2 linked regions of the Saccharomyces cerevisiae S288C genome follow. The protein of the gene in region 1 purifies or fractionates together with the protein of each later gene. This does not show direct contact. Each region holds a gene or a part of one and is shown in the gene's direction. Other genes may lie near its edges. The genes, in order: RTS3 and TPD3.

Evidence for each region.
Region 2: the proteins of RTS3 (region 1) and TPD3 purify together in Saccharomyces cerevisiae (affinity purification with mass spectrometry; 4 studies listed by BioGRID). This does not show direct contact.

The regions. Positions count from the first base shown.
Region 1 is NC_001139.9:807,973-811,249, reverse strand, and holds RTS3 (Rts3p), read left to right. Parts: upstream 1-1,829; coding exon 1,830-2,621; downstream 2,622-3,277. Other genes in the region: YGR161W-C (uncharacterized protein), read right to left, coding at 745-1,023. UniProt on the Saccharomyces cerevisiae protein: May be a component of a protein phosphatase type 2A (PP2A) complex. Negatively regulates SIT4 phosphatase, a modulators of caffeine sensitivity.
Region 2 is NC_001133.9:123,094-127,575, forward strand, and holds TPD3 (protein phosphatase 2A structural subunit TPD3), read left to right. Parts: upstream 1-1,785; coding exon 1,786-3,693; downstream 3,694-4,482. Other genes in the region: serine/threonine protein kinase PSK1, read left to right, coding at 1-1,202; bifunctional N-glycosylase/AP lyase NTG1, read right to left, coding at 3,810-4,482. UniProt on the Saccharomyces cerevisiae protein: Phosphatase 2A affects a variety of biological processes in the cell such as transcription, cell cycle progression and cellular morphogenesis, and provides an initial identification of critical substrates for this phosphatase.

The DNA.
Region 1 (3,277 bases):
TACACTTTGCACACGTACTACCGCAAGCATTGTTATTTTTAAGGCACCTTTGACATGGCCAACGAGCGTTCATCTTTTATACCCCTTTCATAACTATATGAAGGTGTACGATTATTTTGAATGACTACTACAATTTAGCCGCTAATTATCAACATGAATCAAGCGGCTTATAATGCACTAAAATAATGTATCGTTGTACGATAGGTACATTATCGTTTCTACCATTGCAGAAATACGCGGCTCATATTTTACAAATCTTGGATTTTCGTGGTGAGGGGACCTGAGGGTTGTAGAAAATGTGACGTAGCGGAGATTCAAAAGAACGAAAACAAAATAGTAGATACCCCGCTCTGTGAGTTTCTTCAAGGGTTCGACAAATGAATTTAGATACCGTTCAAATTTTTGATTTTCTTGGCGTTCTAAGAATGTCCTATCACAGCCTTGCCACTATCTGACTGACGGAGAAGAACATTGAGATATGATGTTACATTTTTTTATATTCATGAATATTAGTGCGTATTTACAGTGAAAAGCAATCGTCCAGAAATGCATAAACGAAGAATCGATATATAAAACACATTGTATTATAAACTAAGTAACACGTCATCTTCTGCACCTCCCATTGCGACTTCTTTGAGTTCAATCTGTAAGCTAATCGTATGCCGTTTTTCAAACGTGTTTGAGTAGAAAAGTAGCCACCATATGTGCACGGTGAGCACAAAACGTATAGCTCGCATCAGGCGTTCACCAGCCTTGAATTCGGCTCTGTCTCAAGGAAGGATTAGTACTCGGACACGCCGTCGCCGTCTCTTGCAATAAGTCCATGTTCTTGCTCTGGAATAAGGTGAACTCTTTAAGTATTTTCTCTTCTAGGCTCAGTTCTCCGAGTTGTAGGGCAAAATCAACCATGCCACTACTGCCATGATCGCTGCTTGTGCCAGTAGCATCACCTATGAAGCCCTGATCGGCTTGAATATTTGCGAAATGTGCATTCGAAGAAAGATGGTTGAAGTATCCAGACATAATGCTGTATAATGTTGACTATAATCGGTTGTTTTAGCTCTGTGGTATACTACAGATGTGCTAAAATATGCCGAAATCACCACAATATACAATAAATACGATATCATCATGGACGCATGCACGACATATTACAAGGCGGGGGAAAGAAGAAACGGAGCGCCAGAGCCACAACGAGGAAGCGGGTTTGTGGCTCTCACATCACAGCCCGCCCCTACCAAGATCGTAAGCAACGTGTTCAACACGTACCAAAAAACCATAATGGCAAGCCAGCGTTTACCTCACCCGCGGATGACACATCCTGCTCTTACATATGATCGCGGGCTGTCCACAAAAAACAACCTGGAAATACCAAATTTGGCAGCTACCGCGGAGTAGTGGTCATGACGGAGAGAGTTGCCAAAAAGTGACTGACTCGACTCCCCTCACAGCCCGGATCAATTTTTCCATGCGTTTCCACGGAAATCCGAGGTTTGCCGTTAGAGTCCCAAATTGGCGATGGATGATGAGATAATGCGCCCTTATCAATCACGCTAAAAATTGCCCCACGCTGTACTCAACGATCATAGCTGGCTATTGTTATCGTTGGCTTAGATGGTTTCGCCCGTACAAAAATAGACTTGCATATATATAAAGCTTATCTTCGGCCTCAGTCGTCTAAAAAACTATCTTGCCTAACATTATCTTGTCTTCTTTTCGTTCCCTTGAATCATATATAAGAAAAGATAATCAATCATTCGGCTATTTTCTTACAGATACATACATACGTATAATTCATCAATCATAGCATTAATAGAAGATAAAGTATAATGATCGCTACCTCCAGAGCCGTAAACATGAATAAAGAATCAAAACACAAGAAGGCTGTTGCCAAACCATGCAGAGAGAGACAAACTTCAGTTACAAGAGCCATGAGACCAGCTGTAGCACGTGATCCTCGCAGACTTTCGACGTCGTCGTCTCCTTCTTCGTCACCAATGTCAGCACAGAGAAGGCTTTCGAGGGAAGAAATAATAAACGAAATGGAAAAGGAGCAAGACGCTATTGTAGTAAGACTTCTACGGGAAATTGAAACTTTAAAAGAAGAAAACTCTAGGTTAAAAAATCAACTGCACCATCCGGTCCCGGCTAGAAGGTCGTCTCCATTTTTCGAAGGCGAGTCTGCCATCCTAGATGATGATGACTGCAATTATGGTTACACCCTCGACACTCCAAAGCTAAAGCTCACAGATGGTGCATCCAGACACACCGTACTTCCCTTAACACCCAAGGACTCCATGACCCACATTTCCCATTCCGCCAGAAGGTCAAGCCGGAACGCTTCCATATCTAACGGAACAAGCATCTCAGACACGATTTTCCCCATTGAGACTAAAATCCACTCAGCACCAACAACAAACAGAAACCTTCCCTCCGCCGATCTTCCACATCACACTCTTCTTCCACGTTCTCTAAGCGGCATTTCGTCTAGCGATTTAACCGAATCCGGTGCTCTTCTTCATGACAGGAGAAGGCGTTCTTCCAATTACAGTCTCGATGGCTCAAACTCTTTAAAGGCTGATCTCATGGCAAAGAGATTCCAAACTGGTTCATTGAAATAGGCTGTAAGCGAGATACATAAGAAAACAGAGTTTCTCTAAATATATTCTTCCTATTGATCTTTGGCAATCCAACACATATGCAGTTCGTGCACTTGCGTTATAAGCGTGACTTCTCGCTTGGTTTTTTTTTATAATTTTTTTTTAAAACCTCATTCTAAGTACAACTTTGGCGTTTTTCCAAGCTACTACTTATAATTATATGGTTTATTTCATAAATATATATATATATATATATATATATAGAAAATCAATATACATTTAAGCCTTACTGGAGATGACACTATTTTTGTTCACATTTTTTCTTATGCTCTAAATACCTCGGCCTCATACGCAGAGACAGTGTTGATATGTTTTTATACAAAGTAAAGGCAAAGAGAAGGCACAGACAGGATTTCACAGGCAGCTAAGTAATAACGAATATGCTTGCTTCACATATTTTGCCGCCAAATTACACGCTATGGAGCTACGTTCTACTAGTGGTTACTTACCGCTAGCTATTTAAACCCCATCACGTTGATTGTCTATTTCGCTATAGGTTATTTTGCCAAGAAAACTTACTGGGCAATACTTACATCCATTCAGATTTTTGGATAAAGCAATTGAAGAAAGACGACAGCAATTCGACTGGTGGTTGTTAATTACCCTTTGATCCTCTG
Region 2 (4,482 bases), on another chromosome or scaffold:
TGTCCGAGCAGGAACAAGTTCCCCTGGAAAACGATAAGGACAGTGGCGAGATGATGCTTGCAGACCCCGAAATGAAGCACAAGTTAGAATTGGCCAGAATTTACTCAAGAGATAAATCTCAATTTGTGAAAGAAGGAAATTTTAAAGTTGACGAAAATTTGATTATTAGCAAAATTTCACTTTCCCCAAGCACTGAATCCTTAGCAGATTCTAAAAGTTCTGGGAAAGGGCTTTCTCCACTTGAAGAGGAAAAGCTAATTGACGAAAACGCTACAGAAAACGGATTAGCGGGATCACCTAAAGACGAAGACGGAATCATAATGACTAACAAGCGAGGAAACCAACCTGTTAGTACTTTCCTACGCACCCCCGAAAAGAACATCGGTGCTCAAAAGCATGTTAAGAAGTTTTCGGACTTCGTAAGTCTGCAAAAAATGGGTGAAGGTGCATATGGTAAGGTCAACCTATGTATTCATAAGAAGAATAGGTATATTGTGGTGATTAAGATGATTTTTAAAGAAAGAATCCTTGTAGATACATGGGTTAGAGATAGGAAATTAGGCACTATACCTTCTGAGATCCAAATTATGGCCACGTTGAACAAAAAACCACATGAGAATATTTTACGGTTACTGGATTTTTTTGAAGACGACGATTACTATTATATCGAAACTCCCGTACATGGTGAAACAGGATGTATAGATCTTTTCGATCTAATTGAATTTAAAACCAACATGACCGAATTTGAAGCAAAATTGATATTCAAGCAGGTTGTAGCGGGAATAAAACATCTACACGACCAGGGTATTGTTCACAGAGATATCAAGGATGAGAATGTTATCGTAGATTCTAAAGGCTTTGTTAAGATTATTGATTTTGGATCTGCTGCGTATGTCAAAAGCGGACCATTTGATGTTTTTGTTGGGACAATAGATTATGCTGCCCCTGAAGTCTTAGGAGGAAACCCTTATGAGGGCCAACCACAGGATATTTGGGCTATTGGTATTCTATTGTATACGGTGGTCTTCAAAGAAAACCCCTTCTACAATATAGATGAAATATTAGAAGGCGACCTGAAATTCAATAATGCAGAGGAAGTTAGTGAAGATTGCATTGAGTTAATCAAGAGTATTTTGAACCGTTGCGTACCGAAGAGACCCACCATTGACGACATAAATAACGACAAATGGTTGGTTATTTGAAGGATTAATGATCATTCTAGGACATTAGTAATTGGAAAAGAAAATGCAAAAAAATATCCAGTAGAAACAATGCTTGGTATGTCGTTCTTCTTACTTTCTTCAGTAATGAGTTGGTAGTTTTCTCTATTTAAATATGAATAAATCAATATGTACTTTCTTTCTTTAATCAAAATGTTAATATGATAAAAATACAGCATCCAAAGCAGTTAATCAAGACTTAAATATAAAAAATTTACATATTTAGAAAACAAAGATAGGGTAAATATTGAAATTACATAGTAAACCATACCTTAAAAGCAGAAATACTGATACCACATGAACTATTGATCAATACTACTGCTATTCTCTTCCTAATGCAAAGAGCTTATTACCATTATTAAATCACTACAGACGATAATACCCGGAATGCCCTTTTTGCAGGGAAAGCGAAAAAGGTGAAAGAGTTAACAGGAGAAAGTGTTAGGGAACTAAGTTACGAAGGAAGGCAGATAGCAACAATACTAACGTGGAACTTATTTCGACGACTATAACAACTGGTATCTGATTATCGAAGAATAATTGAGTGGTCAGAAAGGAGCGAAATATGTCTGGAGCAAGATCAACAACGGCAGGTGCCGTGCCCTCGGCAGCAACAACATCAACAACATCAACAACGTCAAACTCTAAGGACTCAGACTCTAACGAGTCATTATATCCCTTGGCTCTGCTTATGGATGAGTTAAAACATGATGATATTGCTAATAGGGTAGAAGCCATGAAAAAACTAGATACCATCGCGTTGGCACTCGGTCCCGAAAGAACAAGAAACGAGTTGATTCCCTTTTTAACGGAAGTTGCACAAGATGATGAAGATGAGGTGTTTGCCGTTTTAGCCGAACAGTTAGGAAAATTTGTCCCCTACATTGGCGGTCCTCAATACGCCACAATCCTATTACCAGTTTTGGAAATTTTGGCATCTGCAGAAGAAACTTTGGTTAGAGAAAAGGCCGTAGATTCTCTGAATAACGTGGCCCAAGAACTTTCTCAAGAACAATTATTTAGTGACTTCGTCCCTTTAATTGAACATTTAGCTACTGCAGATTGGTTTTCTTCAAAAGTTTCTGCTTGTGGTCTTTTCAAGTCTGTTATTGTTAGAATCAAAGATGATTCATTGAGAAAGAATATCCTGGCTTTATACTTACAACTCGCTCAAGATGATACTCCAATGGTGAAAAGGGCCGTCGGTAAAAACCTGCCCATCTTGATCGATCTGTTGACTCAAAATTTGGGATTATCTACAGACGAAGATTGGGATTACATTTCTAACATTTTCCAGAAAATCATTAACGATAATCAAGATTCTGTCAAGTTTCTGGCAGTTGATTGTTTAATTTCCATCTTGAAATTTTTTAACGCTAAAGGTGATGAGTCTCACACTCAAGATTTATTGAACTCTGCTGTCAAATTAATTGGTGACGAAGCGTGGAGGGTACGTTACATGGCTGCCGATAGATTTTCAGATTTAGCCTCGCAATTCAGTTCCAACCAAGCATATATCGATGAATTAGTACAACCATTTTTGAACCTTTGTGAGGACAACGAGGGAGATGTTAGGGAAGCTGTGGCTAAACAAGTTTCTGGGTTTGCCAAGTTCCTAAATGATCCTTCAATTATATTGAATAAGATCTTACCTGCTGTGCAGAATTTGAGTATGGACGAAAGTGAAACAGTGAGATCTGCTTTGGCTTCTAAGATTACAAATATTGTATTACTGTTGAATAAAGATCAAGTCATTAACAATTTTCTTCCGATTTTACTGAATATGCTAAGAGATGAGTTCCCTGACGTTCGTTTAAATATCATTGCCAGCTTGAAGGTTGTCAATGACGTAATAGGAATTGAGCTGCTATCAGACTCTTTGTTACCTGCCATAACAGAATTAGCCAAGGACGTGAATTGGAGAGTTAGAATGGCTATAATTGAGTACATACCTATCTTGGCAGAACAATTAGGTATGCAATTTTTTGACCAACAGTTAAGCGATTTATGTCTTTCATGGTTGTGGGATACTGTTTATTCTATCAGAGAAGCCGCAGTGAATAATTTAAAAAGGTTAACGGAAATATTTGGCTCTGATTGGTGTCGTGATGAAATTATTTCAAGACTGCTCAAATTTGATCTACAATTACTGGAAAATTTTGTCTCGAGGTTCACAATACTCTCTGCTCTAACCACTTTGGTGCCCGTGGTATCGTTAGATGTCGTTACTGAGCAACTATTACCATTCATTTCTCACTTGGCTGATGACGGTGTTCCAAATATTAGGTTTAATGTGGCCAAATCCTACGCTGTGATAGTGAAGGTTTTAATTAAGGACGAGGCCAAATATGATGCATTAATTAAGAACACAATTTTACCCTCATTGCAAACGCTGTGTCAAGACGAAGATGTTGATGTAAAATACTTCGCTAAGAAAAGTTTGGCAGAATGTCAAGAACTTTTAAAAAATTGATACTAGTTCAAATATATACATACATACACATATGTACACTTGAATGAATAAAAAGTATACATATTAACAACTAGGCCTGCTTTCTTTTCTTTTCTTTTTTTTTTTTTTTACCACACTTAGTCCTCTACTTTAACAGAAATATCATTTTCCAGTTTGACCATAGTTTCTTCAACTGTTTTCTCCTCGTGTTTAACATTGATTTCCGCCTCCACGTTCAGTTCACGTTTTCCTTCCAGGTATTTCACCCACTTTGGATAACTCATGATATTTTGCTGGATTTCCTTGTACAATTGAGACTGCAAATCCCAATCTAAGGAGCTTCTGGGATCATCCGGTGGCAAGAATTGTAACATGTCACCAAGGTTCCTCGATTTAGTGATTATTTGTCCAAATCCAACCAGCAACCCATTTATTTCTGTCCAAAGCCCCTTAGGCAGCCAATTTTGTAATTGAGTTCTTGTCTGATCTGGAGTCTTGCATTTCTGCGCATCTACCCATTTCCAAAGCTTGGTCAATCTATCCACGTGAACGTCAACGCAGATACCTTCAATCTTGCCCCATGCCTTTTGTAATGTTAGATAAGCCATTTTGGGCCCTACACCGGGCAGGCCCAATAGCTCATTAATCGTAGCTGGAACATCACTCGAAAACTGATCTTGAAGGATTTTGCAGGTTGACAAAATATACTTGGCCTTCCTTGTGTGGAACCCAACTGAATGAATCAATTCGTCTAATTTGGTCTCATTGATTTGTAAAACGGCCTCTAATGTCATACCTTCTTCGCTGTGC